3 linked regions of the Callithrix jacchus genome follow. The protein of the gene in region 2 interacts with the protein of the main gene of each other region in a pairwise test. Links are inferred from orthologs where the notes say so. Each region holds a gene or a part of one and is shown on either strand. Other genes may lie near its edges. The genes, in order: TCF25, SAT1 and DMRT3.

Region 1 (3,644 bases), on a different chromosome or scaffold from region 2:
TTGACCTCCTGGGCATGCTTGAGCGATACTCTCCCTCAGCCTCTCAAGCAGCTGGGGCCACAGGCATGTGCCACCAGGCCTAGGTCGTTTTTAAAATGTTCAGTAGAGACTGCATCTTGCCACAGTGCTCAGACTGGTTTTCAAGCAATCCTCTCATCTTGGCCTCCCAAAGTGCTGGGATTATAGGCATGAATCACTGTGCCCAGCCAGGCTTACTTCTAACACAAACAAATTTATTTTCTTTTTATTTATTTTTTAAGAGATGGAGATCTCACTATGGTGCCCAGCTTGGACTTGAACTCCTGGGCTCTGCAGACCTCCCACTCCAACCTCCAGAGTAGCATCGGGCGCGTCCACAGACAAAGGTCAATGTGGGCTGAGCCAATCCAATCTCTCCATCCTTGAGCCCAGAGAGAGGAAGGCGGGTCACCCTGGGTCTGTGGGCTCCGGTCCAACCTGATGGGCAGTCACGCACTGCCTCTGAGCTCATTCGCAGAAGGGAGGGGAGAGCTGCAAGCCCCCCAGGCCGGCTGCACTCACCTGTTCTCGGGTCTGCGGTAATCCAGCCGGCAAGCCCCGCTGGTGAGGCTGAACAAAGGGTGGAACGCACACTCCATACTGTACAGTGCTCTCTCTGTGGGCACAGAACCCCAGGGGAGGGTGTTACGGCCACGCACAGCAACCAAGGCCCCTCCTCTGATGATGCACAATGAGGAGAGGTCTGGAAGCAAAATCACAAAACTAGAATCCTGGACCCTTAGAGGGCAGACATGACCCTGGGCATCCCAGATGCCACTCTGAGTTTATTTCAACCACAGAACTTGTGAGCTTGAGACAGAAACACCTTAAACACTACGAGGCACAACTGCTGCCACATCCTGATGGAATCAGGCGTCCACGCGTGCAGCACAAACGTGTCAGATCCTGGCGGAATCAGGCGTCCACGCGTGCAGCACAAACGTGTCAGATCCTGGCGGAATCAGGTGTCCACGCGTGTAGCACAAACGTGTCACATGCTGTCAGAACCAGGCATCCACGTGTGCAGCACAAACGTGTCCACATAAGACCAGCATATGCAAGCTCACAACAGCACTATTATTTACAATAGTCAAAAAGCGGAAACAGCCCAGACAGCAATCAACTAATGACAGATACACAAAACGTGGTCTATCCACACAGTGGATTATTATTCAGCCACAAAAACGAATGAGGTTCTGATCCATGTTACGGTGAGGATGAACCTTGGAAATGTTATGGTAAATAAAAGCCAGAGACAAAAGACCACATAGTATAAGATTCTGTTTACGTGATATGTGCGGAACAGGCAAATCCACAGAACAGGAGAACAGCAGTGCAAGGGGCTGGGAGGAGGAGAGCTAAGGAGCTGAGGGGCTTCTTTTGCAGGTAATGAAAATGATCTGAAATTGATCATGGTGTCGGCTGCACAACTCTGGCATATACTAAACACCAGCAAACTGTAGCTTTCAATGGCTGCATTTTGTGCTCTGCAGGTCGTACCTCAATAAAGCTGTCATGGATATCCTGGCAAACCCCCTGCACCCTCTGACATCTCAAACCACCGCATCTGTCTTGATGGCTTGAGGTGCTCCCACAGCTGATGGGAACAGGGTGGGGGACTCCGTCTTACCTATGAGGTCTCGAGCCATCTCCTGATCCTCTTGAAAGCGGCAGGCATCGCTGAGCTGCAGGAGTGAGTCCACGTGATATGGGCTCGTCTGGAGCAGAACCTACCAGAAGGGAGGACAGGCCTGGAGGAAAGCCACACGCAGCCCTCTTGGGGACAGACACCCAGCAAGGCACCAGCTCCCAGGCACGCCCATCTTTCAGGCATTTAAAACCAGGGGAGGCCAGACACAGTGGCTCTTGCCGGTAATCCCAGCACTTTGGGAGGCTGAGGCGGGAGGATCATTTGAGGTCAGGAGTTCAAGATCAACCTGCCAGGCACGGTGGCTCTCGCCTATAATCCCAGCACTTTGGGAGGCTGAGGCAGGAGGTTCACTTGAGGTCAGGAGTTCAAGACCAGCCTGGCCAACATGGCAAAACCTGATCTCTACTAAATATACGAAAATTAGTTGGGTGGGGTGGTGCAGGCCTGTAATCCTAGTTACTCGGGAGGCTGAGGCAGGAGAATTACTTGAACCCAGACTGTGACTGCGCCAACGTACTCTAGCTTAGGTGAGAATATGAGATTCCGGCTCAAAGAAAAAAAACTGGGGGAAATTAATTCCAGGGGTGACAGTCACAACGTCCCCCAACTCACAATATGCTAGTTATTATTGCCAAGCTGAACCAAGCATCTGATTTAAGGCAGGAACTCAGAACCTGACACACCCAGGCCAGGGGCTACCTAACTCCCCACTATGCCCCAATAAGGAGTGGAAGCCAGCAGCCTGCTTTTCCCACAGGGAAGACGACGGTGAGCTCTCAAAAGCACCTTGCCCCCAGCCACAGTCCTGAGGTGGCATGGACAGGGATGAGGGTGTCCAGAGAGCGTGGAGGACGACCTCCTTCTGGTTCTGAGGACAGGGTTGGTTAGGATCTCGGGCCCCGGGGGCACCAAGCCTGGGGGTTTGTGAGGAGAGGACACCTTCACTGACAGGTGGGCCGTCCGGAGGCAGGGAATCTGAGCTGCTTCCCCTGTGCTGAGCCAGCAGGAGGCAACAGCAGCAGCCAGAAGCCCCAAAGTCCCAGGCCTGCCTCACACAGCAAGGGTCTCGAAGAACGGGCAGTGACAGCAGCACTCCAGGCTCTCCTCGGAGTGTGGACTTTGCCTAGAGCCTCTGAACACATCTCCCTCTGGTCACGTGGCCTGATGGCCCTGCAGAGACCGGCACCCTTCCTATTGGAAAGGGCAGGAGGCCGCACACCTCCCACAGTTACCACGGAAGGACATGGCCCAGTGCAGCAGTGGCTACACGGCCCTGCTCCTGTCGGGCTGTAAGGACCACACACCACAATGTTGTTGGGCTCCATGGACTCCACGGCCACCAGGAACTTGTGCTGCGCCTGCTGGTACTCCTCACTGTGCTCGAACGCAAACAAGGACAGGCCTTTTTTCGATTCCAGCAGCCGCATGGACAGACCTGGGAGGGGAGAATGCTCAGGGAGGTCGTGCCAGGAGCTAAAACTGTGGGAGCCTTTGTACGGCACAGCAGCTCCAAGCACAGCCCCCCACTCTGCTCAGGAGGGTGTGCTGGGAGCAGGAACCGTGGGCACCTCTGTGGGGCATAACAGCCCCCCTACCCTTTTGGTGTTCTTGACAAGGCCTCCGCGGTATCAACCAACTTGACCTGAGTGTGTACTTACGCATGTCACCCAGGTCCAGGCACCTTCCCAGAATACCCACCATCTGGTCTATACCAGCAGACGGTATCCTGTCTGCTTTAGTTTCCTATCAAGACGTGTTTCCCCCCAGAACTCAGATACAGCTCAGGCCTCACTGGCCTGGAGGGAGTGTCAGGGACAAGGACACATACAGTCCACAGGTCACCAGATCCGATCAGGCCAAACCCTGCCCCCAGACCAAGTCTGATCGGGGTGAATGTCCAGGGTGGCAGTGAAAAGGCAGGGGTGGAGTGCTGTGGTACAGATGGCCACAGCACTTTAGAACCCATGGCCACCCT
Region 2 (3,744 bases):
TTTTGAAAACTGTAAAAAACGTAAGAATACACAAGCACATATTATTTTAGTCACTAGAGCAATGACATCATCACATATCCTGTAAATGTATAATTATTTCAAAAAAAAGTTAAAGGAAATGAAGCAAGTGGGGATTACAACAACTTTTAACAGCAACTGAAGTTAGAAGACAGATACCAACCACCAATGTGCTGAAAGAGGAAAACTTCTGAACCTCAAAATCTATAAACAGTGAAATAAACCCTTCAAGAATTTTAAGATGGAGGCTGGGTGTGGTGGCTCACACCTGTAATCCCAGCACTTTGGGAGGCAGAGATGGGCAGATCACGTGAAATCAGGAATTGGAGACCAGCCTGACCAACATGGTGAAACACCGTCTCTAAAAAATAAAAAAATTAAAAAAAAGAATTTTAAGATGGGCTGTTCCAAAGGTAGTAAGTTATCTCGATTGTTTATAGTCAGTTACAGATCAAACTCCTTATTTTACTCTCACTACTGCACTTGACTACTGTAATAAAAAAAGAATTTTAAGATAAAGACACATTCAGACAAGCAAAACTGAGAAAGTGTGGCAAAAGCAGATCTTTACTAAAGGAAATTAGGAAGAATGTACCTCAGGCAGAAGGAAAGGTGTCAAGGAAGATCAGAGATTTAAGAAGGTACAAGAAGTACCTTCTTTAAGAAGTAAGAAAAAATATCCTGTTAACTCTAAAAACTACAAGTATAAGGAAAAAAGATTATTGGGAAATCCAAATAACCTACCCTAGGAAATTCTAAAAACCACAAGAATATACAAGCTCACATTCCTTTGGTCATAACAGCAGTGTCATCATTAGACACCGGGTCACCTATGGAAAATTCCATTGCGAGTTGAAGAGGCATATGACGTCTAAAACTAGTTCTGCCACCGAATCTCTAGATCTTGGGATCTGCAGGGCCTCCCGGATCACACTTTGAGAACTGCTGCTTTAATCTTCCTCCCATCTCCTAAGGCCAGGGCTCCTGAGTTTGCTTCCCTGACCCGCCAAGGAGAAAAGAGCAAGGTCAATGGTCGGGGGCCGCAGAGGGAATTCCCCTCCTTTTGCAAGGGTTACTAGAGGACACACGGGCTGCTGGTGAGGTTTCCGGGAAGACTCCACGAAGCGCCACTAGAGGGCGCGACTAGCGAATCCCACAGCGCGCCCGGCCGCCCATGCTGTTGTCCTACGGGTTCACACGGGCTCCCGGAAGAAAGGGTGGTGCCTGGGAGAGGAAGCGGTGCGCCGCGGGGCCGCGACCTCATTGGACGAGAGACCTCCGCCTCACGGCCCAAGGCGGGGCTTCTCGCACTTAAGAGCTGGGCCGGACCAGGGTTCGAGTGCGCAGCTTAGTCGTAAGTCGGCTGAGGTTTTTCCGTCACTCGCCGAGGTTCGCTGGGTCATGGTGCCAGCCTGACTGAGAAGAGAACGCTCCCGGGAGACGAATGAGGAACCACCTCCTCCTACTGTTCAAGTACAGGGGCCTGGTCCGCAAAGGGAAGAAAAGCAAAAGACGAAAATGGCTAAATTCGTGATCCGCCCAGCCACTGCCGCCGACTGCAGTGACATACTGCGGCTGATCAAGGTAGCGGAGAGCCCGAGCTCCCGTCGGGGAGCGTGGGATGGAGATGGCTCCGTTTTCCGGGGTGGGCAAGGATCCACGTCTTGGGGTCTGGGCCGGTGTGAGAGCCCAGCCTGTTCCCTTTTCTGCGCCTGCCTCCCTTCGCCCCATCTCCGGTGCGGCCGCCACCCTGGGCAGGCTGCCACCCCGCCCCACCCGCCCCATTCCCTTCCTCTGAGCTGGCCTGGCCTGAGCCTTATTTTGTTTTCGGCTTCTCTCTCTCCTATGTGCATCCCCCCAGGAGCTGGCTAAATATGAATACATGGAAGAACAAGTAATCTTAACTGAAAAAGGTAATTCAACAGCGGCGGGGTGGGGGAATAGCGTTCGGTGCTTGTCACCTTCGCCGAGGCCATTACCGCCCCTGCTGTCCCTTTTTGCAGATCTGCTAGAAGATGGCTTTGGAGAGCACCCCTTTTACCACTGCCTGGTTGCAGAAGTCCCCAAAGAGCACTGGACTCCAGAAGGTAACCCCTCTCCCCTTCCAACAGACAGAGAGACCGAGTGTTTTGTAAGAAGTAGTGTTGGCTGTGTAGCCCTGACTCCGCAGGCCGAAGTTACTGAGAAGTTGGACAGAAAAAAATAGCAAGTGTTCAAAGTACTGAAGAAAAAAAAAATTAGATACGCTGCACTTGAGAATAATAGGGTAGGGTAAAAGAGTTTAAGTATCAGAGTGCTGTGGAGACTCGGAAGAGTTTAAGTTGCTTAAGTAAGTATCAGAGTGCTGTGAAGACCTGGAAGAGTTAGGTATAATGTCATTTGTTGTAATTCAGTTTCATAAAATGGTTCTTGTTTGACCCTAACGTGACCGTTTTTGTAATTGTGTTAAATCACATTTTTTTCTTTAATTTGTCCCAATCTTCAGGTTACAGTCTCTAGCTTCGCCATGTACATGGCCCTTCCGTGTACATGGATGGGCGGGGAGGTAACTAAAAGATCCTTTACACAATAAAGTAGATGATCATGATAAATGAGGTAAGGTCCTATTATCACACAGTTAAAACACGGTAGATCAGAAACCCACTATGATACTCGCTTCCTGTCTGTTTGCAAAGGAATATAAAATGGCTAGAAAGTTTAATTTGAAACCTTCGCCTCCATTTGGAATAGTAGATACCCGTTAAGAGGGTGTCAGTTGCCTTTTTTTTTCTTGCTGATCCCTGTTGATTGGTCAGAAGACAGCTCAGCTAAAAGGGGAAGTTGTTTGGGTGGGTGCTTTTTTTTCTGACGTCTGTTCCTCAGGCTAGAAGAAATCAGCAGAAAAACAGAAGGGATGAGTACTTTTTAGAGTATGTGGGTGTTACGTAATACCTGTTTCTGGGAAATGCTGCTGCTTCTGACTCAACAAATGGGGAGAGCAAATTGAAAATATGTATATTGGAAGGCAAGTTCTGAAATTAAACATTGTACTTTGGCCTGATGTTCTGACCTTTAAGGAAGCAAGACTTTGTAAACTTACAAATATCGACTATTCTGAACTGCCGTGTAAACCTGACTTATTCCCAAGTCAACATACCAGTATACCAATAGGATGTGAATAATGTGTGTGCAAGTTTAAAACCGTAGCAGTTTTGCTCTGGCAAGTAATGAAAGCTTCCTGAGTGTGAGATCCAGCAGTCTGCAGAGTGGCAAGTCCACAGTTGTAGCCTGACTTCAGTGAGTTCTGATGTGTGCTTTTTGCAAATACATGTTCTCAGAACAGTGAGATCATCCAGCAGTGGCCTGGACTGCACTCATGTAAATCATGAGACAGTCGTGGCTCCTTGTTTCTGTAACACATGCATGTATGTTTTTTAAAATCTATGATAGGCCTCTGATTCTGCAGCTACAACTTTTATGGAATGTTTTCCTTCTCCACATCTCATGTGATACTCTTATTACAGGACACAGCATTGTTGGTTTTGCCATGTACTATTTTACCTATGACCCGTGGATTGGCAAGTTACTGTATCTTGAGGACTTCTTCGTGATGAGTGATTATAGAGGTATGATTGAGTTTGGGGCAGAGGGTCTGAAGAGTTCAGGGCTGTAAATCCTTACAATGACATTTTAAATCGTACTTCTCTTTAACTTTTTAGGCTTTGGCATAGGATCAGAAATTCTGAA
Region 3 (3,744 bases), on a different chromosome or scaffold from region 2:
CATCTCACGGACGTGTATGATACGGGACAGCTAAAGGCTTCAAGGGAAACACTCAACCGGGTTCGGTTTTAAACCCTCCTCTCCTCCGCGAATCAACCTTCTAGGCAAAGGGTTGGCTGCTAGAACGCCTGGAAGTGCTTCCCTTGAATTCACAGCAAACACCAGAGGAACGTTTTCGGGTTGTCTGCTTACTTCCAGGGCAGTACGGAGAAAAGGAAGAAAAGCGGCCTCCCGGAGGGACAAGGGCCTCTGTGCCCACGAGGGGTCCGGCATTGCAGCGGACTTGCCCGCTTTCATCTAGCATTCGATTCCCCGCCAGATGAGCTTGGTGCAAACACTCTTAGAAGCGTACCCACCGAAGGCTCTGGAACTGCCCCGCTTGGCATAGAGCTATTGGGCTGTCCCGCTCCCAGTGTATCCACCTGTTTTTTGTTTTTTTTGTTTGTTGATGGGCAAGGGGGAGGCGCGAGGGGGTGGGCCTTCCTTGTGCATATATAGCGATAGTCTGCACTAGGCCAAACCGGCTACTCTTGGGAGAATGGGAAAACACAAATAATCTAATCGAAGTTTTCTGCTGTCATCTTGTGCAAGGACCCTCTCCCCCAAGACATCTATGACTGGGGTCTGTGGGTTAAGGGGTCAAAAGTGGCCCTATTCCATATCCATAATTAAATCACAGAATCTTTGGGGATTTTAATTGAGTGGCTGGCTCCAGACCTGCGTTTGCCCCCAGTGGCTGCTGGGAGAGAGGGAAGAGATAAACTTGGGGGCGCTAATGTGGCTTCTGCGTCTGCTCCTTGAAAGTTTATACCTGGCGCTTAGCAAATTCTTTCCGGGAGCATGTATGTCCCTGACCTTTCAGGATATTGTTTTATATTAAAACATGGAGAGGAGGGTAGAAAAGTAAAATTTGCCTGCCCCCAAAAAAAGGGGGGGTGGTCATCCTTGGGCCGGCAGAGCTCCACATACATTTTTTCCAAAGCAACAAAAGATAAAAAAAAAAAATACGTTTTAAAAGGAAATTAAGAAAAGAGCTTAACGTTCCCAAATCAACATCACTCCAATCCCCTATCCTAAACTCCACCCAGGTCTGTGATGCACCCCCAACACTCCCGTAGGTTCGGGTTCTCCCGGAGCTGAGTTTCTACGGCCAAATGTCGGGATAAAAGCTGCCTAGGGCTCGGAAAAACGCAGCCACAGGAGGACTGAAGGGAGGAGAAGAGAGAGAAGGGGAGCGGCCACCTCACTCCCTTACATGGACCCCCACCCTCACTCTCGCTGGTCCTCCCCTTCTCCGCCCCACGAGCACGCCGCGTTCCGGAGCGCTGCAGTCTCCCGCTGCAGGCTCGGGTGACGGAGAGGACTTGGAGGAGGGGGCCGTGAGCGCCCCCGCGAGCGTGGCCCGGCTGCAGGTGGCCAGGAAGGTGAAGTGCAGGGACCTGAGGGGAGCAAAGGAGGAGAAAGGCGTGGGGCGGGGAGTGCAAGGAGACCGGGACCCCAGGGGTGGGGGTGACGGTGGTGGTGGGAAGGAGGAGGGGTTCGAGGAGGGCAGCGGAGGAGGTGCTGAGTCCGGCCAGCGCGCAAGGGAGCTGCAGACGAGCTGGTTCAGACCTTAATCAGAGCTTTCGCCCGCTCCTTGCAGCCGCCGCTGCCCCTTAGCAAGGGAGGACGTGCCGACTCGGCTGTGCGCCCAAAGCAGCGGCCCGCGTTGGGGGTTGGCTGGGCGCGAGCCGGGAGGCCGAGCTGTGAGCGCCGAGGGAGCTGGAAAGACGGCTGCGGCACCTCCGGCCGTTCCGGGGCACGCCCAACCGCCGGCGCTACTGGACCAAGGGTCGCGCCGCCCGGAGGCAGCCCCTGAGCGTGCCTCGCAACCCCGCCGTCCAGCGCTCCCTGGCCCGCTCCGGCCTCCAGCCCGCCAACTCATCCGGGAGCCTGGGGCATGAACGGCTACGGCTCCCCCTACCTGTACATGGGCGGCCCGGTGTCGCAGCCGCCGCGGGCGCCCCTGCAGCGCACGCCCAAGTGCGCGCGCTGCCGCAACCACGGTGTGCTCTCCTGGCTCAAGGGCCACAAGCGTTACTGCCGCTTCAAGGACTGCACCTGCGAGAAGTGCATCCTCATCATCGAGCGGCAGAGGGTCATGGCGGCGCAGGTGGCGCTGCGCCGGCAGCAAGCCAACGAGAGCCTGGAGAGCCTCATCCCGGACTCGCTACGCGCACTGCCCGGGCCCCCGCCGCCCGGGGACGCAGCCACCGCCCCGCAGCCGCCGCCGGCCTCTCAGCCGTCTCAGCCGCCGCCGCCGCGCCCTGCTGCCGAGTTGGCCGCGGCCGCCGCTCTGCGCTGGACCTCCGAGCCGCAGCCCGGGGCTCTGCAGGCGCAGCTCGCCAAGCCAGGTAAGAGTGTCTGCGGTGCGGGAGTTTGGACGGGCGCTTGGGCAACTTCGGAGTGCCTGCTGCAGCTCCTCCTGGGAGGCCTGGAGGCAAGGTTTTGGGAAGTGGGACTGGCGGAGCTTTACTTCCTACCCTCCGACAGGCCGGTGTTTCCTCTCCCGGGAGAAGCCGGCTGAGTCTGGACCCAGCGCGGGTGGCACTTGCGCCCGCCGGGAAGGCGCCTCCGGGGAGCCACACCACGGGACTGTGCATCAGGGTCGCCAGGTGCCTTCCCCAGGTTAAAGGGGAATGTGTCAGATTGAGCAGGGAGATAAACGGAGTCGAGACGGGGCCAAATTAAAACGCAGGCGGGCACACTGCCCTACGTGGGGCAGAGTTTTCTGGGCTGCGGGTTTTAGAGGGCCTCGAATTTGGGGGTTGGAATGGTTAGGTGTAGGGAATGAGCCAAGACCCAGCCCTGGCTGACTCTGAGCTGCTTGTGCTTCTGGGCCTTGCCCCGCCCAGCCGGCCCGACCCAACCTGGCCCAGCCCAGGGCCCAGGAAAATTTGAGTGGGGACGAGCATTCCAACTCTGAGAACCCATTGCCTTTCTAGCTTTGCCCCATGCCCTTTCTAACTTTGCTCCGTGGCCTCCAGACTATTGTAATTGGTGAAAAGTTCCATTTAGCAATGACCGTAAAAAGGTCCCGAAAGGCTCCTGAGCTGATAGGGGGACCAAGAATCTGGTGGGCCAGAATTCACTCCTTTGCAGAACCTCCTAGATCCTTTAACACTGTTCCCCAGGCTGCCCTCAGCTGTCTTCGTGGTTTAAAGAGATAAAAAACAAAATCTGATCCCCCACCACCCATCTGTTTCTCTCCTCCAGGCCTCCTGAGCTTGGCAGGCCTGAGTTGGGCCTCTTAGTCTCTCTCCTCCTGGGGAATTTCTAGCTTGCGGTTCTGCCCAGCCCTAGAGCCCTTCTGATGGCTCTTGAAATTCAGCAGACATGTGTTTGGTGTTTCTCTGGGTCAAATGCACAAAGGAAAACGGCCCACCTTCTCCCAGAAGAAGGCATGCTGGAATTAGGAGTGGGAAAGTCCAGAGCCCTCCTGTAGGTAGAACTGTGGTAAAGCTGGTACCTACACTGACATGCCAACTCCCTAAAGACAGTACCCTAGCTTCTGGAGAGAGGCTTTCAGGAGCACTGGACTGCTTTGTCTGGATCCTGTGCAGCTGGGGAAATGATGCAGACTCACCTGTTTTGTGGTGAGTTGACGGGTGGCTGGCAGGTCCAGTTCTTCTGCCCTTTCAGTCATGCTATCCAGGCCCGAAGCTCTGAGAACAAACAGCCTGTGTGAGAGAAGAGCTGGGAATT

Evidence for each region.
Region 1: the proteins of SAT1 (region 2) and TCF25 interact in binary tests that used the Homo sapiens proteins (3 or more experiments, as listed by UniProt). The two-hybrid records come from large-scale screens. The link is inferred for Callithrix jacchus from reciprocal best matches to the Homo sapiens genes SAT1 and TCF25.
Region 3: the proteins of SAT1 (region 2) and DMRT3 interact in binary tests that used the Homo sapiens proteins (3 or more experiments, as listed by UniProt). The two-hybrid records come from large-scale screens. The link is inferred for Callithrix jacchus from reciprocal best matches to the Homo sapiens genes SAT1 and DMRT3.

Annotation. Positions count from the first base shown.
Region 1 is NC_133521.1:47,532,541-47,536,184, reverse strand, and holds part of TCF25 (ribosome quality control complex subunit TCF25), read right to left. Parts: intron 3,105-3,644; coding exon 2,974-3,104; intron 1,749-2,973; coding exon 1,649-1,748; intron 635-1,648; coding exon 541-634; intron 1-540. UniProt on the Homo sapiens protein: Component of the ribosome quality control complex (RQC), a ribosome-associated complex that mediates ubiquitination and extraction of incompletely synthesized nascent chains for proteasomal degradation.
Region 2 is NC_133524.1:24,515,451-24,519,194, forward strand, and holds the start of SAT1 (diamine acetyltransferase 1), read left to right. Parts: upstream 1-1,355; 5' UTR 1,356-1,462; coding exon of another isoform or gene 1,463-1,536; coding exon 1,537-1,602; intron 1,603-1,879; coding exon 1,880-1,931; intron 1,932-2,021; coding exon 2,022-2,105; intron 2,106-3,521; coding exon 3,522-3,623; intron 3,624-3,716; coding exon 3,717-3,744. Other genes in the region: uncharacterized protein LOC144581000, read left to right, coding at 1,463-1,552. UniProt on the Homo sapiens protein: Enzyme which catalyzes the acetylation of polyamines. Substrate specificity: norspermidine = spermidine >> spermine > N(1)-acetylspermine. This highly regulated enzyme allows a fine attenuation of the intracellular concentration of polyamines.
Region 3 is NC_133502.1:107,433,806-107,437,549, forward strand, and holds the start of DMRT3 (doublesex- and mab-3-related transcription factor 3), read left to right. Parts: upstream 1-1,327; 5' UTR 1,328-1,939; coding exon 1,940-2,393; intron 2,394-3,744. UniProt on the Homo sapiens protein: Probable transcription factor that plays a role in configuring the spinal circuits controlling stride in vertebrates.